3 linked regions of the Oreochromis niloticus genome follow. The protein of the gene in region 3 interacts with the protein of the main gene of each other region in a pairwise test. Links are inferred from orthologs where the notes say so. Each region holds a gene or a part of one and is shown on either strand. Other genes may lie near its edges. The genes, in order: bend7, prkra and lyar.

Region 1 (10,268 bases), on a different chromosome or scaffold from region 3:
TACTATTTAGCTTGCTTGAATCAAATTATGATTTGCTTTCTCACTGGGTGTGGTTCTTTTGTGCAGATGTGAACACAACGATTGGACTCGGGTACAGAAAAAAATCCAACCTGACCAAATTACAAGGCGCACAGTGCAAGTTTGAGCTAAATACTTTCCCGTAACCAGGTACGCTTTGTATTCTGGGATATGTCATAGCACCATACATGTGCAGAGTACACAAACTATAGCAGGTAGCTGTAAAATCAACCACAGGCCAACTACTCCAAAACACAGCACCTTCTTCCTGTACTTTTGTTGGCCATGCCCCAGACACAACTAAAATCAAACTGTATGAAAAAAGTTCAACTTCATCAACTGAATCAGATCAGACAAACCAAATTATAGACGTGTAAACACTCTGAAGCCTTGATTATATTTCCATATCTGTAAGTCAGCATGGGTCAGGGTAATGTAAATTTCCAAAGTGCTGACTCGTCAGTGAGGAATTCACATTTACATTATACTGCACCAATTATACACGCTGCACATGCAAGTAAAATAGGAATAACTACTCAGCCGTGATATCTAAAGCTGTTCATGTCTGTCTCAGCAACAGGTTATCATAAAAACATAAGTGTGTGTGTGTGTAACTCTGGCTCTAACCTGAATGTATTTTCTCTGCGTCTCGTCATTAAGAACGTGGGCCACGTGCTTGGAGAAGATCTTTTCTCGTCCGGTACGGGCGTGGATTCCCACCATAGTCACACCAATTGGCCAGGGGGCATTACCAATGGCCATCTGTAGATATGCATCATTTGCCTGAAAGACATTTAGGAAAGTTTATAATGGATGCAAAAATAACTTTGCAAAAATAACAACAGAGGCTACATGATATTATCATACCTTGACATATTCTCTCTCCAACATGAATTTTATGATGTCTGTGATTGACTCTTTGATGTCAGCTTGTAAGTTCTGTAAAAGATAATGATGAAAAGTAAATCCACACATGAAAGAACCACGCACTATAGTTTGTTTTGCTCCGGTCACATAAGTTACCTTCTTCCTGAGCTTCCTGAAGAGAGGCTTGAGGTAAGACTCGGTCTGCGAGTGTGTCGCACTGGCCAGCTTGCCCTGAACGCTGCGCTTCACGTGGTCCTCTCGGCTGTTCAGATCTTTGGCCCAAACGCCAAGAAGAAACTAGAGTCCAACAACAAATATTTTCTTTGAGGAAAATGTTTCCAAGAAATGCAGCGGTAACCAACACTAGACAAATATCCATTATTTGAACCACTTCAAAAAGAATAATGGTGCGAAAGGTTAAACTTTTTTAACTATGTAAACATATAAACAGCAGCAGGTATAGTAGTATGACTTTTTTAAATTTTTATAATTAATATTAACCCAAGAGCTCCCTGTAAACTAGGGGTGTCAAACGTAAGGCCCAGGGGCCAGAATCTGCCCCAAAAAACACACCAATTAGCCCCACTGGAAAGCTTTGGAAATTGTGAAGGGTATAAATTTGTGGAAATTTAACTTTAGTTTTACAATTTTTCCTATTGATCTAGACCTCCCCTAGAGTTAAGTAATAGATATACATTGAAATGAGAGAAAAGCTCCTGTTTTTCACCATCTAAAAAAACAAAACATTTTCTTTAAATTAATAAAAACTTTTATTAATAGAAACTCTTTTATAAATACTAGACAATCTGTTCCATAAGCTCACAGAACTTTTTCTACATTTATCATGTAGAAAAACTGAGATGCACTGTTCAAATGCTTCTTCTTTCCTTACATCAAGTCATCTCATAGACTACATATGTAGTTAAACGTCTTTACACTGAGAGAAAGGGGCTTTTCACTCGTCTGTCCCACTTAAGATCAAAGTGGGCTGTATGTGACTCACGGTGTGAAATACGTTTGACATCCTTGCTTTAGATCAAAAGGTCAAGCATGAAATTCTTACCCTCAAAAATTTAGCAATAACATCCTGGTCTCCATCATCATCACCTGTTCCAAGAGTTTTTCCAAGAGCCTAGGGGGGATAATTTCATTATTAACACAAAAACACCACCCACAAACATAAAATGATTGAAAAAAAACAAAAAAAACCCCAAACAAACTGTGCCCAAAAATTGATCTGACAAAAAAGAAAAGCTATTTAATAACTGGAGATTCATTCTTTCTCCTTGGACATTGTGCAATGTACCTCAAGTTCTTCTATTGTGGTGTTTTCTTCGTGCACTTTTAGGTCATGCTGTGTGTCCAATTCTCCTGACTCTGTTCCTCCAACAATCTCATTCAGGTACTGCTGGTCAATCTTGTCCATGGCGGCTTTCAGATCATTCCTCAAGCCCTTGGCACAGTTAAAGCAGCAAATATTATTAGTGTCACTAAAATAAATTCAATATGTCCTTAATACAATCAAGAACATTAGTAGTGACATACAATTTTCCAGAGTAGATGGAATAAATGTGAATTTCAACTGCATGTTTTTTCCAAAATCCAGTTAACTCTCAATCCTACCTTGTTTACTTCTGGGGCCAGAATCTCAATTTTCCGGAGCCTCTGGAAGGCATCATAATCGGACTCGCCAAACAATCGGATCGGTTCCCCTCGTTCTCTAAGTCGTCGAATAACCTACACAAACACAGTGATGCAAATCAAATATTTATACACTTGGTGGTAAGCAAAAGAAATGTTATGATATTTAAAGGAAAATGAATTAAAGGAAAGTGCTGATGTTTTATACTGACTCACCTCCTGTCGTGAAAGTGTCATTGGGAGCTTCTCTTCTGTGAGCTCCAGTTCCAAGACTGGATTAGTTGAAGTGGATGGCTCATCTTCCTCTTTCTTCTCAATCTTATGGACAAAATTGAGGGAATAGAAATACGCCAGCATTATTGGAAGAACATTAGGGCAATTTGGAGGATCTGAATTTAATCTAATCTTCCTTGGCCAAATGGCAAATAAAACTACTACAAAAAGAGGGGGGGGGGCATTGGCAATTTCTTCATGAGCTGAGACCTCATGACCAAAGAGACAAAAAGGCATCAACAAAATAAGCAGAACTGCAAACATTCACACCACTCCCTTACCTGCAACTCTTCAAGAAAGACAAGTAGCACAATAAGTTACCAAAAAAAAGGAAAGAATATAACAAATAGTACATCAACATGATAACTTTCGTGGCTGTAACATCTTATGTGTGATTTAGGCTTCTGCGGGAAATCTACATCCTAACTAACGACGCAACCGGAAACCCCTGTTAACCCTAGCCGTTGCGGGCTGTGCTGACCTGCTGTGTAGTTACATCAGATTACATGCAAGGTTACAGCATAGGGTTAAAAAGTGTTTTTGGTTACATTGTAAGTAACAAGGTCGATTTCCCAAAGAAGTCTAAATCACCCATCAGGCGTAATCACAGGAAAAGATACTCTGTATTCTTTGCACAAAGAAACTCAAAATATACCCAAATCATGCTTTAAAAGGCACATGCATGCCAGCACTCTTAGATTGTGCTTTTTATACCACAATCTAAAAGAACAACCAGCAAATGGTGACAAAAAGCCTTCTGAGCAAACAACAGCTCTTTCGCTTTAAATAAAACATAGTACGCTGCCCGTGTACAAAGAGAATGGCTTAATGAGCCAGGTTTTTAAGCTTTACACAAAGTATAACATAAATACAATCTGCCACTGAGCAGCTGTTAAAATGTCACGGCAAACAAGTTGCACACCATAATTTGCTTAAATATTAAAAGCTTCTGTCACAAATTATCTGCAAAAATAAGAAGCAGAGCTTGATAACAAAAATACTTTTCCATTTCAGTACATTATCCCATGCTGAAATCAACACCGTGGCAGTGTCCCACTTTTGCTTTGAAGCTTCCTTTCCGTGTTCCTTTGCTTTCTGACAAGTGGCTGTAATATGTAACTAGCCTGGCATAAGGCAAAGCTGTGATAATGACTGTGGCACATATAAATATTTCATTTATATGACATTTAAACTATGTTGATAATTTGGAAATGACACAGTTTACCATCCACAGAACGCAGGTGAGTTTAAATCAAGCTTTAAAATGCTTTCATGTTATTGACTAAAATTTTAAAATCACCTTGAAAAGTCTAAATTTATCCAGCAGAAGTGAGCTGGTGAATATTTCCATTTGTGTACAGCTGATATCCAATTATTATACACTAAGTTACTACTAGGTGAGTCCAGGCATCCTGTACCAAAATATCCTCGTGCTTGTGTGGTTATTTGTAACAACCAGAAAATGTGCCCTCCGCTACGTCTTTTCTGTTTTCATCCCAACAGATTTCAGTAAGAACTTCCAGAAAGGATGCCTAGGAAGCATGAGCGTTTAGGACACAGTGTGTTTTATCCTTTTATCATGCATCCTGTTGGCTACTTTCACTGTGCAATGCCATACCTGGCTCTCAGGAGTCTCTCTCTGAACCTACAGATGCAGGCAGCAGAGGCAAATTGGGGAAAAACACCACAGTAAACACAAATACAGACACTGTTGTACACCTGACCATCAACACCTGTCCTTATCTTTTTTGCTGGCAGAAAGTTTACTCGTTATTTTGTGTCACACTAACCAAGCCAGACAGTGAATTAAATAAGTCTGAGTGTCTCAGGAAAATCGAGAGAGTGAGAAGCAGAGTGATGTTGACATGAACCTTGTATCCGCATCTTCTGAAGTAATCTTCTCTTTCCTTCTGTGAGAGCTCAGCCCTTTTAAAGAATCTTTTGGAGTCCTGAAAAGAAAAGAAAAAAGCAGGTAAAATGAATTTATGCTATCATATGATATCAATATCATATATTATTTGGTGGTGGTGATTGGCGGGGGTATTGTTGATACAGTGGTACAGGTAGGACGTTATGCAATAGATAGCATGAGTTTGAGATGAATTTGAGCTACGTGTACCTAATGAACTGCCATGTGCCCCTAGCTCTCCCTAGCTTACTTATGTTTGCATAAAAAAATTATATGTTAGGATGAGTTTAAACGGCATAAATACCAGAATTTCTGCTTAAATCGTGATACTATAAAGGTAATGTTCTGTTACGTAGCAGCAATTACAATTCGTAAACTACAGCTCTGTGTTTAGCTTAATCCTAAAGTTAGCTTTATATTCTACTGCAGATGGAGTTCAGTACTTTATAGATAAAGCTATCGATATGGATGAAAAACGATCATTCTAGAAATACTTAACTAGCCTGGTTAAACGACGTGTTAGCAACATAGCCAAGCTAACAATAACAAGCAACTTCGTCGAATACTTACTTCAACAAGATTTTTTTCTTCGAGGAGTTTCCTCTTTCTTGCGATCTCAGCTTTAAGTATATCCATCTGAAAGGTTTATTCTAACAAAAAACGGCACATTAAGGTCAGTCTGCGTTTACCCAAACGTTAGAAACACGATTGCCTAAACCGGAAGATAACAAGAAGCTTTTCAGAATTTTCAAAATAATTGTTTCAAAATAAAAGCATTAGAACACAATGTAACCTGTGTCTAATGAATCTGTTTTTCAGTGAATTTAAGCAGACACCAAAAGAATAAGGTCAAACAGATAGAAGAAAATAGATACTCCTTTATATATTATTTTCTGGATATGTATGCACACTAGTTAGCCAAACATTGGGCTAACCCAACAATTAAACCACTGAGTTGTGGTTATCGCAACACCATGTTCTGCTGTGAAACATTTGGATCCTAGACTCTTACCTTGATAATTGCAACCCACCAAAACAGACCAACACCATTTCCAAAACACTACACAGTAGCTAATATTTTGAGGACAATGACGGGGCCCAGTCAAGCTCCAAGCCCGAAAACCTCTAAACTCACCACTGTGATCCCACTGTGTCAAGCATCAAAATGGACCGAAACAGGTTCAATCCACAGATGCCCCAAGATCCTAAAAACTGCTGCCAAACAGGGAAATCTGGAAAAAGGGTCAACACTTAGGGGTGTTTGTTTTACGTATCTGGCAGTTATGCTCTATACTCCAAGAAGGGAAGATGAAAAATCCTCACTCAATCTTTTTTAAATCCTCCAACATCTTTTCTAGATTGGTGATAAAGAAAATTATAGCGAAAGAGACTAAATGGCCTTCACTTGTAATAGGTGACTCAATAGTACTTCCTATATTTTCTGCCAGTGACTCTAGAAGTACACAGTTGTTATGACTGGAGGAGGAAGCATGATCCCTTTAATGCACTACAATAGATTTACAAAGATATCAACCACGGTAAACACCAAATACCTGGTAACTGAGTTATTTGTTTCTCCTTTCAGTCAAACAACGTTTGGCTTTTGGCTCTTTTTTTTCATCTACAGTAGCCTGTAAAATGAAGTCCTTTTAAAAAAATCTCTAAAGTTTGTTTTTCTGTTTCAATGCTGTTTGTGTTTAATACCGGTTCACAGTTTGGACACCACTAGCAAATGTCTGACTCGACCTTTCAGATGAGAACATACCATCAGGTGGCGCAAAGGGATATGTGACGATTTTTTAATATTAAAGTCATTAATTTATTTACATGACGGAAGCCAAGAAGCAGCATCATGCTGGCAAAGGGAATGGACTGTAGAATACAACTGAACGGGTCACTTTGAGCTTAACACTGCGAATATTTGCGAAGAGATGAGAGAATCTGTAGCGCAAGCAGGAAAGAAATTTAACTGATTAATAAGGCAGACGGACAGTGATTCCGCTGAGTGTATCCTAGTCAGTGATTTCGTCCTCCCGAAGAGCGAATATTTTTCCACTGCACGACTTACTGGATATTCCACCTGAAGATGGAGTTTGGAGAAAGGAAGAGGAGAAGGAAGTCGCAGAGCTTTAAACTGGTCACGGATGGAGGTAAGCTGCTGAATGAATGCAAGACCTTGCAAGACGCGCGTCTGTGTCTGGGTGTTTGTCTGGCGCTGTGCGCCAGCAGAGACGACTCTGTAAACAAAAGCGATAGCCGCGACAATGCCCAGTCTGTGCTTCGGTTTTAACCAGCAGCTAACTCTAGGGATTCACATCTTGCATGTAAAAGAAAATAAAAGAAACATCCTGGACATCAGTCTGAACGCGTCTCATTCCGGGTAGATTTTTAAGACTGAATTAAGTAAGCAAATTGAATAAAATGTGAAAATATATTGCGCACTCTGAGCTCGTAACAAGGAGCTTCAACTGTGCACTTTTTGCTTAAGCTGTAAGGAACACACCACCTCTCTTGACTACACTACTTCATACCACCTACAGGTGGTGGTTTTTGCATGGGATGGGGTGGGGGTGAGGTGGAGGGTTCTGCTTTGGCAGGCATCACAGCTCATTAGCCCGCACAAGCTTCAACCTTAGAAGGCAAAAGGCCGCAATATCATTCTATGACATCTGTCACCAAGGTTTTGTTGCGTTTCTTTACAGCTGTGCTTCATAACGAAACCATTCTTTTTTTTTTTTTCTTTGCAGATTTCGAGCCTTCATATGTGATTAACTCCAGCTCCAAAGATGCCAATGGGGAGCCAAAGGATGGTGTTATGTCTGATGGTATGTGGGATTCAGAGAATGAATTTTGATTATATATCATACAAGATGTCGGTAATTACATGAGCACCATTCTCTCTTAATGTAGTTTGGCTGGAGGATGAGGGCATGGAGATCAAAAGACAAATCACAGGAATGATGAGGCTTCTGAGCGATAAGACCAGCAGAGTATACCAGCGTGCTGGTACAGAGCAGGATAGCTTAATAAAGGAGCCCCAGGAAAAGCCTCTGAACTGGGTAAATCAGCCTGCACTTTTATCTCTGGTGTCAGAGGACCACCAGAGCAACAGCTGGAACTCTGCAGAGGACCCAGGGCCTTCACCTTCATCCATATCCATCCCAGTCCCAAACGGCCCAGGCTGCGGCCAGTACAGCACACGCTCCAGAGCCCTCAGGATTCTCAACAGCACAAAGGATTTAATCAAAGTGAATGAAACTAATGGTAGGATATGCATGTTTGAAAGGAGAAAACTACTAAACAAACCTTAAGTTATTTGAAGAATAGTGAATTTCATTAAATATTGAGTGCTGAACACCAGAAGTGGCTTACACCTTTGTTGTTACATTAAAGCATGTTTGCACCTGTGTGCATATGTTAGAGTGAACGAGCGCTAACAAATGCATCCCTCATTTCCCAGCAGATGTAGTTCCTCCTACTGTGCCAGAAACCCCCTGCTGTATGTGTAACTGTAAGGGCACCTTGCAGGCTATTTTGCAGGAACTACGTGCCATGAGGAGGTTGATGCAGACTCAAAAAGGTTAGTAAATGAATACCAATACACACCCTAAAATAAAGAAATAAAACACAATATAATGTTTTTCTGCCTTTTAATAGCATCTTTAGAAAGGCAGGAAAGGGCAGCACCACCATCTCAACCTCGCCTAGGTGCAGGACCCAGTCCTCGCCACAGACCTCGAAAGAGGAGGCCAATCTATAGGATGACTCCGTTATCCGTGTTTAGCACCAGAAGAGCTGGTCTTGCTCCTCTGGATGCATCACTGCTAAAAGCTGCACCTATGGAATCTGTAAAGAGGCGAGAATGTGAGAAACAAGACTCATCTACACCCAACAATCATCCCATCTCCTCTGACATTCCTGTGCCGCCACCTCAGACCAACCCAGTGACGATCAACAACACCCCTCCTCTCCTGAACCAACTAAGGGAATCACAAGCATTAGAGGTAATCTGTACCTTAGTGTGGATGTACATATGCAGCAACATGTGTGCTTACCAAGCCTCATTTGCATGCTTAATTTGATTCAGGTACACTGCACCTGTCTTATGAATTTGAACGTGTATGTGTATTTGCATGTAAAAATAATTTGCAGCCTAAACTTTGCTTCTTTTGTGAAGCTCCATGCCTAAAAAAAAGTTTAAGTACCTTGATTTTTCCTTGTTTTTTGCCTAATGAGACATAAACCTTTGTGCAAACATTGCGGTTTATTTTACAGCACATCTATGATTCGAGCTAATGCTAGAAATGAAGATAACGTCTTCTTGCTTTTTCTTTCTAAAAACTCATTTATATTTCAACTGGTGATATTTATTTAATCCTTTACAATTAACACTCTGTGTTGCTTGACTCCTTCACAGTCTGAGGTGCGTCTTGCAGAGGATTATGACGTGTTTATCTCTAAGGCCCAGCTAGACTCCATTCTGGTCAACTATACACGCTCAGGCAGCCTGCTGTTCCGGAAACTGGTGCACGTCTATGATTTTTAAAAGCATTTTCTCCTGCTCTGATTATTTTATAATCGTGTGAAATGTCAACAAAGAACAAAAAATGCTGCTTGGTCAAGAGCTGTGCTGTGTGTTTAGGTGTGTGCCTTCTTTGATGACGCCACGCTGGCTAACTCCTTGCCAAATGGCAAAAGGAAGAGAGGGCTAAATGATAACCGTAAGGGCTTGGACCAGAACATTGTGGGTGCCATTAAAGGTAGGGCAGAGAAAGACAAACTAAAGTGTAACTACATTTCTGAGCAAACATTAATGTAACTATGGTGTGTGTCCAGTTTTTACAGAGAAATACTGCACTGAACACAAAATAGAGAAGTTGCCTGGACCACGAGACTGGGTTCAGATCCTTCAAGATCAGATCAAACTTGCAAGGAGGAGGCTGAAAAGAGGTTCTGCTGCTAAATCATTTAAATCATTTTAATATTTTCCCTTGATTAATGTGCTAGAGGAAGCCCATTCCTTTAACAGTACTTATAAGCCAGCTCATTTCAAGGCTAAAGAAAAGGCTGTCTGTCAATCTATGTTGTCTTTGGCTCTTCAGATGCTGTAGAAGCAGAAGACATCTCAAATGGACCATCCACAAGTATTAAACTCATTATTATGATTTTTACACTTAAGGTGTCTGCCACACGTGGGCACACACACAGACACATACATTAATTCAGTTGTCTGTTTTGACCATTTTCTGGTAGCTGGTTCCCTTCATGTCAGCCCTCCATCTTACAAAATCTTTCCATCAGCCCCCCTCTGAGTACACAATGGCTTTACCTCTCCCCACATCATTGTCACAGCATACACACACACACACACTCAAGCTGGTGTTGCCAGCTCGCTCATTGGCTCATCGGTCTTTGTCATGCTGTCACAGTGACTTTTGACATTTTCATGCAGCTTTCCAAAATGTCAGCTAATTATCCTCACACCATGCCGCATATCCACTCTTTCACCTCTATATTTCACCCTCATTGTCACAATAGTATTTCATTTTGTTGCCATGCT
Region 2 (9,951 bases), on a different chromosome or scaffold from region 3:
TCCACAGCATGTCTTTGGTATCTTCATCCCCTCACCCACAACCGGTTTTGGCAGATGGCCGCCCCTCCCTGAGCCTAAATCTGCTGGAGGTTTTTTCCTGTTAAAGGAGTTTTTTCTTCCCACTGTTGCAAAACCTTTTACCTTAGAATTTAAAGCACCTTGAGGCAACTGTTGTTTTGACATAGCACTGTATAAATTAAACTGAATCGAATGGGTTAAGCACTGAGACGAGCAGTTGTGACTCAAACAATAGCTAAACTCTTGTTTAGCTTTTTGTGAAATATCAGACGTTTAAAACATTGAAATATAATTGTTCCTCCCGCAATAATTGCCCTTCTTTGCAGTCACCTGTCCTGTTATGACAACTGATGCTATATCAACTCAAGAAAACAAAGAAAAGGAGTCCTTCACCATGCCGATATCTCCATCTACAAACACACAAGATGAGGTGTGTGTATTTTTTTTCTTATATATGCGACATGCTTAAAACGTAATCACTGGTTAGGGCCCTGGCACTACATTTAATTTGAGCTGGAGCCCTCCAGGGAGATCATTCTTCCCTTTGTATACTTAGTTTTCATTTCAGAGTTTAACTTGTGTATCAAATAGAAGTTTACAAGTAATGCACTGAATCATGTCTTCCCTGTAATCTGTGTCATTTTATGTCTGTAGGGCTTGGGAACATATCCTATGACGTCTGAAAAGAGGGGTATCTGTTTAATTGTTAACAACTACGACTTCAGTAACTCCAGCCAACTAAATAAACGTAACGGAACTGAAGTGGATCAAAGTAAGCAAATTTTGACAGTCAATATACGCTGCATGTTTGTGGTCCTGCATCATCTTTGGATTGTCTGTTTCTTCCAGAATGTCTGCAGAGTGTGTTTCAGTGGCTCGGCTTTGAAGTGGAGAACCACCATGACTGTGACGCGAACAAGATGCTCTCTGTGTTCAGGACGCTTAGCAAAAGAGACCACCGTCAGTTTGACTGCGTAGTGTGCTGTGTTCTGAGTCATGGTGTGGAAGGCAGCGTGTACGGTGTGGATGGATCCACTGTCAAGATCAGTGATTTGACTGACCCCTTCAATGGATTAAATTGCCCATCTTTAGTGGGCAAGCCTAAGCTGTTTTTCATCCAGGCCTGCCAGGGAAACAGAGAGCAGCAAGCTGTCTGCATTGAATCTGATAGCTCTGCATACAGCTTTTGTTGGACTGATGCTATAAAGGCTGAAGAGGGTATCCCACATAGTGCAGATTTTCTGCTGGGAATGGCCACAGTTCCTTTTTATGCTTCCTTCAGAGAGAGAACCAATGGCTCCTGGTTTATTCAGTCTTTGTGCCAAAACCTTGTTCAGATGGTGCCCAGGTTAGTGAAGCAAAATATCAAATATAATAAAATTACATTATTATTTTTTTAAATGAAGAAGAATGCTTTTTTTTTTTTTTTTTAAACAAAAACACTGTACATTATCTCACCCTGTATCTTGTTTTTCCTAGGGAGTGTGATCTCATGTCAATCCTGACAAAAGTGAATGCAGATGTTAGCCAGAAGAGTGATCGATATGGTCAAAGAAAGCAGATGCCTCAGCCAGCCTTCTCACTCAGGAAGAAAGTGGTCTTTCCGGTTCCCAACGTCCCTCCTCCATCTATTCACAAAGCATTGTCAAATTGATTTTTTTTACGTTATTTCAGAGCTGTGGATGCATCAAGAATTAAATGCAACATGCAGCAGTTTATGTTCAAATGTTTATTTTTCAGTCGAAATTCTACTGAATGTGCGTGACTGCTGTTACTAATTGTCATCTAGATATTATATAGGCAACATCCTTTTTCCATGTGACAAATTTGTTGAAATGCAGGAATTTTTTTTATCAAAAAAATATTTTTTTAATGCAGTTTTGTGTAGAATATTTTGTATTTTAGTCCTCTGTGATACAAATCAGGATTAATGTTCTTAATAAATGTGGCTCTTGATAACCTCACTAAGTCACCATGGTAACTTATGCTAACATGCTCTCGATCAGGATGTTTTTAGAGTTTAATGTTAATTCTGCTGTTAGCGTTGGATTCTAACAACGTTCTCTAAGTGCCATAGAGATTCTCCATTGATGCTAATGAATGAAGCCTTGCAGTCTGCAATTGGATGTCTTGTCTGTTGGCAGCCAGCCTGCTGGCACAGCTCCATATGGAGCCGTGCCAGAATTGATTGAAATGTAACCAGAGTAATTAATATTGTTCATTCTTTTAAAAAAAAAACAAACAAACTTTACCCCGTTTTGTTATATTCCTAATTAACTGTTGTAAGTGAAAAGTGAAAATCAACGACTACTGCATTACATCAAAATACAGACTCTACTAAAAAATGCTTCTCAGTTTCTTTATAAAAATGTTTTGTCAACAAGCATTGTAATTGTAACACACAGCCATCCTTACAAGACAAAAACGCAGTCAGGGAGAAAGACTTGTCTTACACAAGAAACTTTGTCACGTCACCTTCCTTAGTGAACCATCCACCTCATGACGGTGAGTCACAGCTGCCTTTCCCGCAATCATTAACGCTTAAGATGTATACTGTGTATATTTTGTAGTCAGTAATGTGTTAAGATTTAAAATGAACCTTTTGACATTTAGCCTTGTTTGACTTTGTCTAATAATCAAGAGTCCAAATTTCTACAACAAAAATCGCAACAATTAAAAGCAAAATGTGACAAAGCTACACCTACGGGATGTGTGACTCAGAGCGAAAGGCCTCACTCTGTTCCTGTACCTGCTCTGACAGGTTGCCTAAACGTCCGTGCTATCGCTGCAACACCTCAGCACACAAGTATTTTCCACATACTGATAATCTGTTGAAACCATATTTCCCTGTAACAACCAGTCACTTGTCAACCACCTTCTCCTTTTACTGCATTGTTTGTTGCTTCTCCCTCCAAATGCTCGACTTCTTGCAGAAGTTTTTGTTATGAAAAATGTTACAGGTAACATTACCATGGCAACATAGAACTCACTGTACATAGCTCACAGACATTCAAGAGTTCCTCTCTTGCAGTTTAGACAGACTTCACTCACTTGTTTTGTCTCCAAATGGTTTCAACAATCCATCCATAGGACAGAGATTTATGCGTATTGCAACACTTTTCACTTACTAATGGAGTGATCAGCACACCAACTTTAACTCTGAGTCTTGTTTATCGAACCAGACTACAGCAGGAGACACTGAACCATATACTGAAAGTGCCACAAACATGAGAACATTCTTACTTAGCATTCAGTAATTTCCTTTGAGCCGAGCAGCTCACATGCTGAAAGTGATAGATGTTTAGGTCTGACAGGGACTGCCAGTGCAACTTCTACAGAGACGTGACCAGGGAACACACTGCGAAAGCTGCTATGTGAGTGCATGATTTTTATTTTTTTATATTTTTTGGGGGTAAAAGGATAAGTCAAAACTTTGGTGGCTGAATTACAACAAAATATAACAAAGTCTGCCCCTCCAAAAATAAATTCTCAGGGATCAGCAGAAAGGAGGAGCACAAAGACAAACAAGGCAAAACAAAGTATGACACAAACCGAAGAATGACTTTCGTACTAGTCATGGCTGTGGGTTTTTAGTAGGTTTGATTCGACTTTCCTGTTGTTATCGACCATGTCTGAGCTGCAGAAACCCAGCACTTGAACCTCTGTCTCCACCTTCAGGTCGACTCCATACAAATCCCCTGAACTGCTTTGATTTGCTTGTGTCCGACTGAGAGACACCCAGATCAGTCTCCCTGCCCTGCACTGCCTTTAGGGTGTTAGGTGTGTATTATATGAGTAAAATTAAATGTAACTATGAATTTGCATAACTTTTCAGCCTACACTGGAGCTCTTTCTGGATGGACAGAGTGTTTGAATGACAGCAATTTAAGCAAGCTGTAGACTATAACTGAAATAGTGTGTTCTCTGCTCATTGAAATGATCGGCCAGTTTAAAGTACTGCAGGGTAAAAGTTATAAAAGGACTTAAAATACAAAAGCAAATGGGTTTAATCTGGTTACTAACTACTTACCAACCCCCTGACATTAAAAAAGCTGCCTGCTTTAGTAAGTCAGCAAGAAGTACATCTATAATATCTATACAGGCAAGCTGGTGAGTTGAGGTCAGGATCGAATGAAATTCAACCATAACTAACAGTATGGCCTGACCAACTTTGGCTTCTAGAGGCAATTTCATGTGTTTCAGTGGTGAATCAAAATGCGCCCTAATTTCCAACCCTTGTCCCTCGTTGGTGTTTCACATCCACAACGCACATCAAGATTTACAGCATTCAGTTATATAAAACCACAATACACTATGCATATAAAACTACATTAAATACATATATGAGAAAAATATGGTCTAAGAAATATACACCAATGAATATTATTTCCAAAATTATGAATAATTGTGAAATTAGCCTTTGTTCTGATTGTCCAAATGTGGCATTTTACACTAAACAAATGTAACAAATATCAGTCTAACATAATTAGGAAAACAGTAGACAGTCATATATCAGTCTAACACAACCTTAAGCTTAAAGCTTAAAGCTCAGTTGTCTTAAAGCTTTGGACATTGGTTTGTTTCCTTACTTCGGGCTCTTTCATGAGATTTCTCTTGGTTTAAATATAATAACTTAATTTCTCTATGACCATCCTTTTGTAGAACCACTTGATTGGTTAGGGCCGTTGCTTTGCACAGCCCGCTTTCAGTTGAGATTTAGTTCAGACAAATTTCCCGACATTTTCCTTTAGAATTCGGAGGCGTAGCATGTAATTCATTGCTCTTTCAGTGATGGTGAGCTGTCCTGGCCCATATGCAGCAAAACAGACCCCAAACAATGACCGCATCACCACCATGTTTCAAGAATGGGATGAGGTTGTCTGGAATGCATTTCCTTATCCTTCTCCACCCAAAGCACTTGTTATTTACCCCAGTAAATTTAATTTAAGGATTCATCTACTAAACACTTGACAAACAGCCTTCTGGAGTACCCACATGGAAAGCAGGATTGTTCTTTTGAACTGGCTTTTTTCTTGCCGAACAACATCAACGAACAATAAAATAAACATCAAATGAAAAACTAAAAGAAAAAACCAGCAACTGGAAAATTACAGTGCTACCATTGCAACTGCATTAGATTTAATTGCATCATACTCTTACTATGGGGACAGACCATAACCACCTCTACTCTATAGCCAGCAGAAAATGTTATCATTTACATTCACAATCTATGATACCTAGTTTCCTGTTGTTTTGATTTATATTGCTGTTTAAACAAGCCTTGCTGTTCTTTGTGTTCTTTTTGTCAATGCCAGCTATTATTATTATTATCATTATTATTATTATTATTATCATTATTATAGTAGTAACACTAGTAGTAGTAGTAGTAGCAGTAGAAATAGTAACTGTAAATGTTTAAAGATAAGCTAATATAACTTTTTTTTTTTTTTTTTTTTTTTTTTTTTTTTACAATTTAATCTTTTGAATTTTTTTATTAAAAAATAATCTAAAACATGTTTTTACGGGGACACTGTCGCGTCCAGTTGAATAGGCACGACTCACCGGTAGGTGGCAGTAAACGCTTTAGCTCACACATTCTGACCTGCGTTTGACCCGCGTTGATCCGGATGTTGATATAATGTTAAACTGGCGATTTCCCCGGCGAAAGTACAGTGAGGAGTTGCTAGCGTTGCCAGGCCACTTAATGTTCATCACAGAATCATTGCTAGATGTCCAGAAAAATATCTCATCGTCGTGTTTAAAAGTTGTTTTGGCCGGAACAGAGTCTGTAATCAGACCTGTGAGGAACCGTGAGCTGCAAACATGTCTCAATCACCAGCAGTGAAAAGCGAGGATGCGAGGTCAGTGTTTTATTGATAGTAGTCGTGTGATAAGAGGTAACGGTGCACAATCAACCAAACCGCTTACATGTCTAGTTTATGTCAAATAATAATGTAGTTAAATTAAAGTGCATATTATGGTATATTAGCTAGAAGCTACAGCAGAAGTCGTGCCAAGTATTTGGTCTTAAGTTGTATTTACGTGTTGTTTCTTTCACTAATCTTTTAAATTAAATGGCGGTAAATAAAAAAAAAAAATGTCTGCAGTGATTCACCACAGCTATCCGCTCTGTATGAAAAGGAGACATTATCATCAGAGAGAAAGAGGTGGTAGCCAAATACCCTAGAGCTGTAATCAATGGGAGAATTCAGTCATAACAAAGATGGCGGTAGAAGTATAACTTTCAGGGTTAAAAACGTGGGGCGATGATGCTGATGGTAGGGAATGAATGGTACCTTTTGCCTTCAGTGCTCCCTCATTCAACAAGGTGGTGAATGAGATTGTTGCTCCATACTGACATGACAGCATCGCACAGTCAGTTGCTGCAGGTTTGTTGGCTGCACATCCATGACGTGAATCTCCATAGGCCCAATACCTTCATTACAGTCTACAAAGAGAGTGACACTCACAGTTTTAAATGTATATAGTCTACAAAGCTGCTTTGTTAATTTATGTGGCACATAGGGAAAACCTCTGCTGTACATAGTGTGTGCAAGCAGAGAAAAAGAGAACTTTTAATTTTTAGCAATGCGTGCCAGAATCATCATCTTCTTCTTTCAGCTGCTCCCTTAAAGGGTCTCCACAGCTCATCTCCTGCCTCCTGCCACAGCAACCATCTGTATGTCCTCTTTCACTACATCTATAAGTCTTCTCCGATTGAGCTTGACTGATATAGGATGCCAATATTTGGTGATTTTAAAAAAGTCAACAACAATATACTGGACAGCATATTTGGGTTTTTTTTCTTTCAGACTCAAGACATGAACAGATTTCTAACATTTGTTAAGTGTTGGTATTTATTTGTTATTTATTGTTCTTACTAAGATTATATGACAATTCACTTTTAATAGAAAGTTTTTTTGCTGCATCAAGTCGTGGATTACTTGTTTTTGCTCTTCAAGACTGCTTGGTTCCGCTGTTTGTTGTATTTGGGGTTTTTGTGTTGCCAACACAACAAAGTGAAGGTGAAAGTTGCAAAACTATGTAACATCAACACTCATACTATAGTTGAAAGATGTTTCTACTGTCTGTTCTTTACTCTTTTATTTATTTATTAAAATGTTCATTTATTAGCTGTTTGTAAAAGCCAATAAATGGCTATTTTATGATACACTGTATCAGCACTGCAAATACCTAATACCGGCTGATATATAAGTCGGGCTCTAATATGGAAAATGAAGTGGCATATCACAGGAATCACAATAGAGTGTATTCTGAGACATAATAGATGCAATTAAAACTTTAATAGACTCACTAGACTGCATTACTCTGAAAGGAACTGCTCCATTTACTTTACCATCCTCACTTTTTTCTTACATTTTATTAGCAGTTTAAGAGCACAATCAGTCATCCTGTTGTCATTTGTTATTCTGTCATTCAAATTTAACGAGTGAGTTATTACAGTCATAGCTCATAATTTGTGTGTCCTTGTGTTGACTACGTGCAGCTTGGATACAAACGAATCACAGAAAAGCAACTCGGGGAAGACGCCGATACAGATCCTGCATGAATATGGCACGAAAAGCGGAAACCTTCCTGTGTACGTGATGGAGAGGGCTGAAGGAGAGGCTCACCAGCCCAGCTTTGTCTTCAGCGTGACAGTCGGTGACGTAAGCGGCATAGGTAGGCTACGCTGTCACCCCTGCTGTGTTGATAGCTGGCTGTCACCGAATGAGGGCTTTTATTTGAGTTGAAAATTGCACTGTGGTAATTCAGAGAGAGTACCTCAGGCTGCAACATGTTCTTTGTCACTTTGTTGAATTTCTCTTCTGTTGCTGAAGCAAAGTGTTTAAATTTACCCTCTGTATCCCTTGTTTTTTAACAAAGATATCACACTTCAGGCATAGAAAAGTGCAGGTCCAGAGAAAAAGGGTGAGAAGCAGTTGGAATGCTCCTCATGTTGAGGTGATGAGAAATGACTTAGTGTCTGTATTTAACATCTTCTACCAAGCCTATGGTTTAGGGAAAAAAGGCTTTAAAGTTTAAGTCCTTGTGTTCTTCCCACTAGCCTCTCACACTTTACATTTGATTTAGGGTACTGTGGCTTTCAGTTAGGTTTATTATTATTGCTGTTTTGATATTGTATAACACAGGCAACTGATTGGTCTTTTTTTTTTTCAGGTCAAGGTCCAAGTAAAAAGGCTGCTAAACACCAGGCTGCAGAGGCTGCTCTAAAAGCTATGAACATAGACGCTGGAGTCATGTAAGTAGAGCTTAATCATTTAAATTACTGGTTGGAAATAAAAGTTGTACTCCTCAGAGGTTCGCAAATAATGAATATTTGCCTCTTTGAACAGCAAGCGGACTTTGTGCTGCCAAATACAGTTGGCAACAGCAAAGCTCTGATAATTTTTTGTTCATTTTCTGGGTAAGTCGTCAAGGCTATAATTAGATTAATGAGCAATGAAAAAAATTAATTGCATCCCAAATTAGTTTCAGTCAAAACCGTGCCAGTGTTGTGGAACTTTAACAACTCAATCTGTCTGCATTTTGAATCATTTTGGACATTTTATAGACTGGCTGTTATAGCATAAAACACAAATGTTTAAGATTTTGACAGGAATCTTTTACCATTTTCATTTGTTTAAACACTGAAGTCAAAACAGTAACTGGAATTATAGAAATAATGCTGATTATCTTGTTATAGTGGCATCTGTCAAAGGATTGGTTATGGAGTGTTGTGGAAAAGCCATGACTATGCACTCCTTGTGTATAGATTAATATCAAGGAGTCAGACTTTCCTGAATTTTTTAAGATGGTTTTAAGCAGTAGTTCCTCAGTCTTTCTGAAGGTCATTCAAAGTTATTTGTCTTTTTAAACATTGGCTGCTCTTTCACTCAGTTCAGTCCTTGTATGTCATCACTTTCAGAAGATTCTTGTTTTTTTAAGCCACCTAACACTGACCTATGAATCATTCAAGCAATAAAAAGCTACATAACTCAAAAAATGAACCAGTTTTGTGGCTACACTTAACAGATAATATAGGAAAGGACCAATTTTGGGTGATTCCAAAATCCTGTTAGCTAAAAACTTCGAGTATCTCAGACTGGTGTGCAGTGTGTTCTTATAAAATTTGAGGAAACTTAAGGCCGGAACCCCCCCCCCCAAACATATGAACAATATTTGCTTTAAATTTTCATCACTATGTATAGAGAAGGCCATGACAGAGGCATGGTGAGTGTCTACAGCCATCAGAAAAATACAGTGGGGACTCTGTCATGGCTTGGAGCTGCATTTCAGCCAGTGGTGTTGGGGATCTTGTCAACCATCAGATTTTGATCCACCCAGCAGTACCATCTGGATGGGCATCGTACTGGCAACCACTTTATTTTTCAGCAATTACAATAATACATCTGGCAGCAACACCCAAAGAAGAGCTCTGAATATCTGTCAGAAATCTTTTACTATTCCTGAAGACTACTTATAGAAATGACAAGAAAGCTTGACAAGAGTTTAGGCTGTGCTGAAGAAAGATGCGTTAAAGGTGATCATACCAAATATTGACTGTCAAGCTTCTTAGAATTACAGGGAGTGCAGAATTATTAGGCAAATGAGTATTTTGTCCACATCATCCTCTTCATGCATGTTGTCTTACTCCAAGCTGTATAGGCTCGAAAGCCTACTACCAGTTAAGCATATTAGGTGATGTGCATCTCTGCAATGAGAAGGGGTGTGGTCTAATGACATCAACACCCTATATCAGGTGTGCATAATTATTAGGCAACTTCCTTTCCTTTGGCAAAATGGGTCAAAAGAAGGACTTGACAGGCTCAGAAAAGTCAAAAATAGTGAGATATCTTGCAGAGGGATGCAGCAGTCTTAAAATTGCAAAGCTTCTGAAGCGTGATCATCAAACAATCAAGCGTTTCATTC
Region 3 (10,265 bases):
TGTGGCTGACAGCTTTGGGTAATGACGTGCCTCCATCTGCGCTATGTGTCTGCTCAGAGTTGACAATGACCTGACTCTCAACTGGAGGCCCCTTGCAGTGCATGTTGCTATGTCTTCTCAACATGGCAGACCGGGTAAAACTCTTTCCACAGGTATTGCAGATGTAAGGTTTCTCACCAGTGTGTGACCGTATGTGACGCTGTAGGTCTCCTGAGCCAATGAAACACTTCCCTGTATTAATTCATAAGAAATCTCAAATGAATAACACCGTGTGCAAATCATGTTTAAACAGTGATAAAATGGGGAAAAATGCTGTCATAGAAAAACAAGTTTTAAGAGCCTTAAAGAATATGCAGGTAAATGCCATTTACGCTTTTGCCTTTCCATTGCATTCCAAGACCAGCTGGACTTGTTAGCTAAAGTAATAATATTGCAACAACTTTGGTTCTAGTGTCGATTCCTAGTGTGTCAGTACAAATTGTTGTAAAATGTGGCTCTATAAGACTGAAACAATGTCAGTGAAGGGAACAGAGACAGCTGCTGTTTTGGTGTTGGGTCTACCTTTGTGGCAAAATTGTACATTGTTAATGGTAATTACCTCCACCAAGGAGCCTATGTTATGTTATGCATTAAAATTATGCTTACTTCCACCAAGGTCTTTAAGGTCAACTGAATGATTTGTAGGTTGAAAATGTATAAAAAGCCTTATAACTAGTTTGGTGGTTACTGTCAGCATATAGATGAACAATAACAGTATTGAAAATATCATATCATAGCTGACCTCTCCTTTAAGGTCAAAAGATTAATCTATGTCAAAGGTCAAAGTGTTAATAATAAGGCTATGTAGAGCTACTTAAAACTATGTTTCTTACAGCCATTTTTTGTATTGGTGATATTTAGGAAATCATACGAGTAAATGGGGATTCTAAATATCACATTAAAGTTTGCATCCAAATATCGTGTCAAATTAGATCTCTGATCTCACGTTCACATATCACATCTGCATTTCTTTCATGTTGACCCTAAAATGTGTTGATTTAACTGCACTAAAAGTAGTTAAAGTGCATTTACAAAGTATAGAAAATACAATACTAGCAGTTGAATATTATTTTTCTTTTTTGTGCATTTTGCTGTTTTTTGTTTTCAAAAATGGGAACTATTTAACTAAGCAGTGTCGAGCTCCACCTAACAGTTTGGCTGCTAGGAAGTTTCTAGTCCAGACTTTTTTTTATTCCAACCTGAGAATAAATTTGATTTTCTATTACTGAAATATTGCCGAAAGTTATGTTAAATAACTGTGCCTGTTGTAGACTCTTAAAAATATTTTTAAAAATAAATTGTGACATTATAACTTACCACAGGTGGCACAGCTATGAGGTTTTTCCCCAGCATGCCGGGCCTTGTGCTTCAGAAGCTTTCTGTGCGTGTTGAAGGACTTTCCACACTGGTCACAGGTGAACGTCTTGTCTGTCGCGTGAGTCCTTTTGTGCTCCTTTAGATTGCTCAAGTTGTTAAATCCTGAACAATAAACACGGAACAAGAAATGCATGTCTCAATAAAAGCAGCTCAAGCTACTATTAAACATCAGCAGGAGCTCACTTTAGCAGTAAGACATTACAAATTCCCAGATTGTTGTATTATCAAGTGAGTGACGGAGATTATTGCTCGTGCTGAGAGATGCCACAAACCTCGGCCACATATGTCACACAGATGTGGCTTCTCTCCTGTGTGCACCACTTTATGACGTTGGACATCCCCTGATGCAGTAAAGCTGGAAAACACAGATGAATAATAAAGGACAGTAAAGAAATCATCAGTTTTGATATCTCTATATCTCTATATCTATATATGGTAAGTGGAAAATATCATATCATGTATTTATTTGATATTATAGTATATTATGTGCTACACAACAACTATTTAATCTATTTTCTTTCACTTTGTTAATTACTCACAGCAGTTCTTCATTAGCAGGTTGTTATGCAACTACAATAATTTTTGTGTGAAGTTGAACAACTGATAGAATAATATTATCAAGTCTGGGAAAACTTTGGAAGCACTTTTTGTCTTAGTAAAGGCAAACTCAGTTAAACCAAGAAAATGCTTAAAGTAGAGACAGGGTGATGGCACAAGAAGACAAATGAAAATCAATCCAAATAACTTTACCTTTTCCCGCACAGCTCACAGATGTATGGTTTTTCCCCAGAATGACGCCGCAAATGTGTCTGTAAATTTCCAGCCTGTAAGACAGAATCTGTCAGACATCTGAGTTTAATGTGAACATCTAAGAATAACTATTAAATTAGAAGAGCACAAAAGAAAATACCTGTGAGAAGTTTCTTCCACAAACGTTGCACTGAAAGGGCTTCTCGCCTATAACAGAACAGATCAGTTTATGCCTAAGAGCATTATAATTAATTCCTATAATTCAACGTTAAATGTGTGATTCTAGAGCTGTTAAAATCAGGAAATACCGGTATGCGAGCGCTTGTGCAGCTCCAGGTTGCTCGGGTGTTTGAAGATCTTCCCACACACCTCACAGCAGTACTGCTTGTGTCCTGATTGCTGAGCTGGCTCCGGCACAGGCTTTAGATTTTGCTCCTCTTCATTCACAGGTGGAGGACTGGGAAGCTGTGCATCTGCAGCTGTGTCTGTAACCTCATCTCTGGCTGCAGTGCTATCTTCTACAGGAGCTTCTGGTGCTTGAACCTGGACCACTGTCTCTCCTTGAAGGCTCACCTTTGAACAGCTAAGGACAGGTTCAATAACTGATTCAGTGCACATCTCCTCCAAAGCCTTCTGAGACCGAAGATAGTTATATTTCTTCAGGTAGACGGCCTTCTTTGGGCGCACTGGCTTGTTCATTGAGGAATCTGGGTTAGGAGTGTTTAGATTATCTGAGGGTGTGAGAGAAGAGTCAGGGTTCCTGTCCACACTCACTGATATGGAAGACTGATTAGGCTGAACTGTGTTTCCTGAGTTCACAGGGGTGCTGTTGCCTGCCTGGCTTATCGCAAGTTGACACTGCTGCTCTTCCACCACTGAAGGGCCCTGGTTTGAATTTGCACTATTGCTCTGTATTGCACTTTGTTTAAAGTACTGCTTACTGTAGAAGTTGCGGAGCTTGTAACCATGAGCTAGCTGCTTTTCTACTGGTGCCTGAGAGCTGCTACCCATTTCACAGTGTGAGCTGCTGTTAGGCACAGAGATTGGCATCCTTCTGGTGTGGTCCACGTCACTGCTGAAGCCAGGCCTCTGGGATTCAGAGGGACAGGGCAGGTCAACATCGTTAGGAAGACTGCTTCCAAGCAGGCAGTCATGCTCTGAACCCAACATGCCTGAGAGAGAAAAGGAAGGCATTTCCACTGGCGGAGGACAGGGCTTGAGGAAAGCATTGCACATGCTCTGCACATTCGGAACCTGCAAACACTGTGCGATATCTAGGAGTGCTTGCACATTATCTTGGTTAATATCAAGATGGGAGGTATACATGTAGTCCAATATCTGGCCAATGCCACTGACATCCTGGATAACTAGGTTGAACACGTCATTCTTCTGACTGGGGGAATTTTGGAACAAGGACCTGAAAAGATCAGAGTAATACTTAATGCATCCGGAAACCTTGAAGCAACTCTGTATGATTAACGTTTATTACAAAACAGATAATGGCACCTGAAATAGGAGCTGAAGGCGGCCAGGACGTTTTTGTGGGCTTTGAAGCAAACACCTTTGACAACCAGCATGCAGTCACAGAGCAGACCCTGAATCCTCTGCTCCTGAAGCTGCTGGAGGAGGTAGGAGCTGTGGCTGGACAAACTGTCCATGGTTACTCAGCGGCTCCACCACTCACTTCCAAAGTCTTCATCAAAAAGCGAGCTAAGGGGACCCAAGTTAAAAACAGACAACAACAACGAGTGATTAGCCAGAGCTGTTATTCCTTTTATTTCTCCTGCCAGCGAGCCAGGAAGCGCTAACAGCAGTTTTGAACAGACCGTATTGACATATGGGATTCAACAGCCGCGCAGAATCCAGTGTGCCTCTGCAGCAAGACCACCCATGCAAAAATTGGACACAAACTGCTAAGCTTAGCTACAAAGCTACGCTAGCCACCCATGTTATTAAGCGGTGTAAATCGATTGAGCACAAAATCCCGAATGAATTACTTTTAAAATCGAGAACTGCTCCTCGGTACTGTGACTTATATATTATCTTAGCCCATAAAGTTGGGGGTCAAACTTACATTAAAGGATTCCAACTTTTATTTGGATGATAGGTCACTTTTCGACAGGCATGACAAACGTCACTTCCTGGTGTAGCTTCAATTTCGAGTTGCTAAACGCTAATAAATATCGTTAACCATTATACAGATATACCATGTTAAATAATGGAACGGCTAAAGTCACTGTAAGGAGAGGACATGCTAAAAGTAACCACGTGGTTCATACTTATTTAAAAAAGTTACACGAGGATCGTTTCCACCCTGCTCGGAACTTTTCTTTGGTTGCATTTGCACAGGGAAGACTAATAATGTAGCGACCAAACGGTCCGGTGTTTTGTTTTGTTTTGTTTTGTTTTTTAGCAAAATCAACATACAAACAAAATGCACCATATATTATACATTCAGAAAATACAAATTTCAACCTTTGTACAAAGGTTAAAAGAAGACGGGGTCATAAAAGTTAACAGAGTATTAACTCACTAAATCAAAATCTTCCAAAAAGGAAACAAAAAATGCAGCCTTTTTCTTTTTAACTAAAGTCAAAGATTTAAACAACAGGTTTAGGTCGTTTTTCCAGTGAAATAAGGTTGGTTTGGTCTTAAAAAACGACATTTATGTATATATTGTATACACAAGATTAATAAAACATTAACACCATAATTGACTTTCTTTTCCTTCAGAAACATTCCAAACAATATCATATTTAAGGTACATGGGGTAATTTGAATCCCACTCGATTGAAGCCAGGTATGAAAATCCAACCAAAAGATTTGTATAAAATTGCACAAAAACAAATAGATGGTGCAAATCCTTCTCTTCTGTTTCACAAAATACACAATTAATAGTTTCTACCTTAAATCTATCACCAAGGAGCGTATTTGTTGGGTTAATTTTATTTAAAATTTTGAATTGGACTTCTTTCCCTTTAGGAGGGATAGGGAAGGGGATATAATTAGTTCTTATTCTTTCAATTTCTTCCTTTTGGAAATCTTTTAATATGTAATTACGTCTAAATAAATTTGGAGAATAAAGACTCCTTAAGGAAGATCTTAGAAACTTATTATTGCATTTAACATCACAAAACTGAATACCATCTATATATAACTACCTTAACTTGGGGGAGATGTCAGAATATATTATATCACTTACGACTATGTTTTTAAGTGACAATGGAATTTTACAACCCGATTAAATTTACTTTAAGAACATTGGATATTAAATTTTTGGCAAAAATCGTAGTGTCCTAGAGCATGTCCCTCCTCATCTACAAATTTTCAGTAAACACTTAATCTGGCTGATGAATCTTCACGTGACACCTGATAATGATATTCTGTCTAAGGAACCTGCCATGCTACACAGTGTGGTAATAATTATGGGCAAAGATAAGATAAGATAACCTTTATTAGTTCCACACGTGGGAAATTTGTTGTACCATATCCATAAGTGTAAATGGCACAAGTGTAAATGGCAAAACAAAAGACCTTCGCTAAGTGAGTTGAAGATTGAATTAATAATACAGACTTAGTAATATGTCACGTGAAGATTCGTCAGCCAGATTAAGTGTTTACTGACAATTGACAGTGATGGCGGACATCATCATCACTATTCCAATCAATCCTCTCCACACAGACAATCATAAACACACTCGACTATCACTAAATCAAATTTAACGCATACACAAACACGATTTGTAATGACGCTAGTTCAGTTTACAACAGGGCTCATTCGCTCGGTCAGCAAGTGGCAGTATCCTTGTACACTGGGGAGTAAACTTCCATTAAACGAAACAGGTGAAGAAGAGAACATCTGCACATGCGAGGTACGGATCGGGGAGTCCTGATCCGTAACTGTTTTTTTTTTTCTCGTTTTTGTCTACATTATATTAAAATGTTTCATTACTGCAAAAATTTTAAGAGAAACTTATTATTGTTAACATCTTAACAGATATTCTGACCCCGTAAAATGCTTCGAGCGGAAGTAGTGGCCTTTCGCACATGCGTGGTACCGATCGTGTTTCCGGTACAGATTGGGTAGTGGTACCCTAATGTGTGTTTGGAAAAGTTTGTAATATAACGAAGCTGCTGAACGTTTGCGCTCAAATGTGATTTTGAGGAAACAGATTTAATCCGTGGGCTCACACCGTTTTGACCTCCACTTTTCCCAGGAGATGGTTTGTTTTTGTAGTGTTTTACAGTTTTAGGGGACCAGGGTCTGCCGCCGTTCTTTGGCTAACGTTAGCTCGTATCAGCGCTGTCACATGCGTTCAGCTTTCGCATGAGAGTTTAACCGACTTCGGTTTATAGGTCAGTACCGCAGAGTGTAGGCCGGTTCAGTTTTGACCGTTATCGCCGCACTCTAGCCAAACAGGAGAGTCTTTGAATATGGTGTTTTTCACCTGCAACGCTTGTGGGGAGTCCCTAAAAAAAGCTCAGGTTGATAAACATGTAAATATCTGCCGGGGCTGCCAGGTCCTGTCCTGCATCGACTGTGGAAAAGACTTCTGGTAATTAACGACTGTTCACTGCTACCCCAGGCTAACAGGCGCTAGATCAGGCTCGGTGCTAACGATTTGTGTGCATTTTTGTACTAGGGGCGATGACTACAAAACCCACATTAAATGCATCAGTGAAGATCAGAAGTATGGAGGCAAAGGCTACGAGGCGAAAACAAACAAAGGAGATGTGAAACAGCAGCAGTGGCTCCAGGTAAGATTCAGGGAAGGAAAAGAAAAGAAAAACTCTGCAAAGCTTTTGGATCACTTAGGAAAGCCAACTGTTCTACCTTTGTCCTTTTCCTGAAGAAAGTCCACGAAGCCATGAACAAACCTGGAGTCAGTGCAAAGCTAAGAGATGTCCTCCAGCAAGTCAGTACTTACGATAACGTACCTAGAAAGAAGGCCAAGTTTCAGGTTAGTATTACTTAAAACTGTACAAAGTAATCAGTTGTCATGTTAATGTTGATTTACTGTCACATTTTTCTTTTCCCATCAGAACTGGATGAAAAATAGTCTCAAAATACCAAACCCCAGTCTGCAGGAGGAAGTGTGGAATATACTTGCTGCAGCTGATAACGTAAGTTAGGCTTGTTAGTTCTCATGTTTTTTGTTTTTTCTGTGAATGTGTGCTTATTAAATTTGAATGTTACCAGGAAATGAATGGAAGCAAACTGCTCCTTTTAACATCAAGTATGCCATAAAAATAAAGAGTCTAGCATGTTTACAATAGCTGTGGTGATTGTCTTTAACTGCCACTGTCTGACAGGCTTCAGAGCCCCCACAGCCAGCTCGGCAGACAGCGGCTGAAGTCAAAGTGCACACTAATGGAAGAGAAGAGCCGAATGGCCACCCAAGTGTTGAGGAAGAGAAGAAGAAGAAAAAACTGAACAAACGGGAACGCAAAGAGGCCCGACAGCAGAAGAATGGGAAAGCTACAAAAGGTGCTGAAAATACAGTCGCACAAGAGCTGGAGGAAGAAATGGTGGGCAAAAAGAAAAAGGACAGAAAGAGAAAACAGCTCTCTGAAGAACCCAGGGATGATGAGAACAGCCATGGCACTGAAAATGAGACATCGAGCAAGAAAACAAAGGGTGAGTCAAGATTTCTGAAGTGCTAGACATTATCTGTTACTGTCATGGTTAAACTGAGTTTAGGTATTCTCTAACACTCAAGCATAGATTGAGGATGTTTACATCAGCAGCTTTGTGAAGTCTGGTCAGATTTATGTTTATTTTTTTGTTCTAAAGTGTGTGTGTATTTCATATTTATTAGATAACTCTGTTATCATCCTTTTCCAGTTGATGAAGAAATGGAGGATGCTGATGATCAAGAAGAGACTGAGGATCGAGCTGTTACTAAAGGTACGGTGGAGCTAGCAATGACTTGAGATTGCCCCGCTTTAATAAATGATTAGTCCGTGATTAGGCAGCAGAGGTCAGTGTTGCCTCTTTTGTTCAGAGTGAGAAAGTGACCCTTGGTGATTAGTGTCTGCACTGAAAGCTGATTTCTGTTTCTCATCAGGCAAATTTAATTGGAAGGGGAACATCAAGGCAGTACTGAGAGAGTCACCTGACCAGGAAATGTCAGTGAAGAAACTCAGAAAGAAGGTGAGCCATGAAGTGTTTTCATTGCTATATGAAATGAGGATGAAGTTGTTTATTTGTATATCAAACTCTTAAAGTTTCAAAACTCTATAATCTTTTATTAACACTAAAGTAAAAGCTTGCTCATGTTTTTCAGGTTTTGGCTGCCTACTATTCCTACACTGGTGATAGGAATTTTAAGAAGGAGGAAGAAGTGCTAGCACTTTTCAACAACAAGATCACCAAAAATCCAAAGCTTAGAGTTTTGAAAGATAGAGTTAGACTTGTAAAGTAGACTCATTCATCTTCTCCTTTTGACATATTGCATAGATTTTTAAAATTTCAAAGCCATCATTGTCTTATTGTTGTCTGTCATCTTACATTGGACTTCCTTTTTTTAAAAATACAGTTGACATGATGTTGAAGATAAAACATTTTTACCACTGATTTAAGTGTCTGGTTCCTGTTTGACTTCCAAAATTTAGTACTGTTTAATGTATGACAATTGTGATAGATGGCTGCTCTGTTACGCATTCCAAGCTCACGGTAAGGCTGGGAAATGGCACCTTATCTGTGGGATTGGATGTTAGAGTGGGGGAAGGGTAACGGGAGAGGTGCACCTGAGGTGAATTAGACTCTCACACGGGACGAAGTTAATGCACATTCCTCGGCACCCCGAACGGGGTTCACTTGGCCAGGGACACAGAAGCCCCATAGAAGCAAGACGCCTGGTGTCAGCCTCAGGTGAAGTTTTAATGCTGTCTGATTTTGCACGACTAGAATGAGCAGTCTCTTTACCCTGTACGCACACGCAGACACACAGACACAGACGCACACACAAACAGGAGGAAATCTGCCCAGCTTTATGAAGCTCAGCTAATCCCAGCAGGTTTAACACTGATGCTCATTCATCACACTGCTTACCTTGTAATTGTATATTACATACTTTGGGCTTTAGTCAAGCTGTAACTGAAGTTTGGTAGTATTAAAATGATGTTTTCTAGTCCACCTGGGCTCAGCAGAGCTTAATTCTGTTGATTTAATCCAGACCCCCCAGAATACTGAAACTACATCTTCACTGCAAAACAAATGCATTTATTCAGGCCTTAGTCTGCTGTATATGATTAATAACATGCCGTTGGTATCAAAGTGAAATTATGAAACGTACAGCTCTGTGTAAAATGTTATTTATATTTCACTTCCAAAGAGCCAGACTTTCTCATAATTTGTTTTTTAAAGACTTATTTTCAGTCTAGTTGGTATAGCTCTCCATTTTCTTTCACTCATCTATGAATTATTCAAGCATAAAAAAGCTACCTTACTCGAGGAATTGGCCGATGTTGTGCCTGCATAGGCAACTTACAAAAGGAACTGATTTTTATATTGTGTCTTTGGGGACTTTGTAATCAGCAGCCTGTCCAAAAAAAACCCCCAATATAATCCATTCCTGGTTATGGAATCTACAAAATGCAGAGAATAACAAGGTTTCAAAGACAAAATAACATTTTTGCACAAATAAAAGAATGAAAAGTTGGCATAGATTGTCATGGTGTGCGGTGTGTCTGAAAGATTTTAATATACTGGAATAGAAAAGAAAATGGCATCTGGCCACCCTTAAGAATTAGAAGAAAAAAAACAGCAAAGACCTGACACAAGATCAAAAAGATGTAAAAGATGTAGTTTTTGTTGAAACCTCATCACAAATGGTCACTAAACACAGTGGAGGCTCTGTCATGATTTGGGGCTCCATTTCACCCAGTTTGGAGATCTTGTCAAAATTATTGGATTTAAGAACACAGAATAGTACCATCAGATTTTGATCCACCATGCAGTACCATCTGGAAAGTATCTGATTGGCAAAGGTTTCTTTTTGCAGCATGAAAATGATCCAAAACACAGTGCCAATGCAGTAAAAGCATACCTGGAAAGAAAAAAACACACAGTGAAACACTATCAGTCATGGATTGGC

The links.
Region 1: the proteins of lyar (region 3) and bend7 interact in binary tests that used the Homo sapiens proteins (3 or more experiments, as listed by UniProt). The two-hybrid records come from large-scale screens. The link is inferred for Oreochromis niloticus from reciprocal best matches to the Homo sapiens genes LYAR and BEND7.
Region 2: the proteins of lyar (region 3) and prkra interact in binary tests that used the Homo sapiens proteins (3 or more experiments, as listed by UniProt). The two-hybrid records come from large-scale screens. The link is inferred for Oreochromis niloticus from reciprocal best matches to the Homo sapiens genes LYAR and PRKRA.

The regions. Positions count from the first base shown.
Region 1 is NC_031972.2:55,930,728-55,940,995, reverse strand, and holds the start of bend7 (BEN domain-containing protein 7), read left to right. Parts: upstream 1-5,573; 5' UTR 5,574-6,794; coding exon 6,795-6,858; intron 6,859-7,455; coding exon 7,456-7,533; intron 7,534-7,618; coding exon 7,619-7,972; intron 7,973-8,168; coding exon 8,169-8,288; intron 8,289-8,365; coding exon 8,366-8,712; intron 8,713-9,125; coding exon 9,126-9,233; intron 9,234-9,350; coding exon 9,351-9,468; intron 9,469-9,544; coding exon 9,545-9,658; intron 9,659-9,810; coding exon 9,811-9,852; intron 9,853-10,268. Other genes in the region: prpf18 (pre-mRNA-splicing factor 18), read right to left, coding at 646-801, 886-957, 1,042-1,182, 1,949-2,017, 2,192-2,338, 2,509-2,622, 2,743-2,844, 4,418-4,444 and 2 more.
Region 2 is NC_031987.2:17,161,963-17,171,913, reverse strand, and holds the start of prkra (interferon-inducible double-stranded RNA-dependent protein kinase activator A homolog), read left to right. Parts: upstream 1-5,649; 5' UTR 5,650-5,841; coding exon of another isoform or gene 5,842-5,872; coding exon 5,873-5,879; intron 5,880-6,639; coding exon 6,640-6,697; intron 6,698-7,525; coding exon 7,526-7,701; intron 7,702-8,199; coding exon 8,200-8,281; intron 8,282-9,951. Other genes in the region: casp10 (caspase-8), read left to right, coding at 345-448, 673-790, 868-1,366, 1,498-1,672. UniProt on the Homo sapiens protein: Activates EIF2AK2/PKR in the absence of double-stranded RNA (dsRNA), leading to phosphorylation of EIF2S1/EFI2-alpha and inhibition of translation and induction of apoptosis.
Region 3 is NC_031970.2:28,788,923-28,799,187, reverse strand, and holds lyar (cell growth-regulating nucleolar protein), read left to right. Parts: upstream 1-6,193; 5' UTR 6,194-6,600; coding exon 6,601-6,722; intron 6,723-6,809; coding exon 6,810-6,924; intron 6,925-7,019; coding exon 7,020-7,127; intron 7,128-7,209; coding exon 7,210-7,290; intron 7,291-7,479; coding exon 7,480-7,804; intron 7,805-8,011; coding exon 8,012-8,074; intron 8,075-8,234; coding exon 8,235-8,320; intron 8,321-8,453; coding exon 8,454-8,591; 3' UTR 8,592-8,743; downstream 8,744-10,265. Other genes in the region: zbtb49 (zinc finger and BTB domain-containing protein 49), read right to left, coding at 1-231, 1,357-1,518, 1,689-1,771, 2,167-2,240, 2,327-2,373, 2,475-3,583, 3,673-3,824. UniProt on the Homo sapiens protein: Plays a role in the maintenance of the appropriate processing of 47S/45S pre-rRNA to 32S/30S pre-rRNAs and their subsequent processing to produce 18S and 28S rRNAs. Also acts at the level of transcription regulation.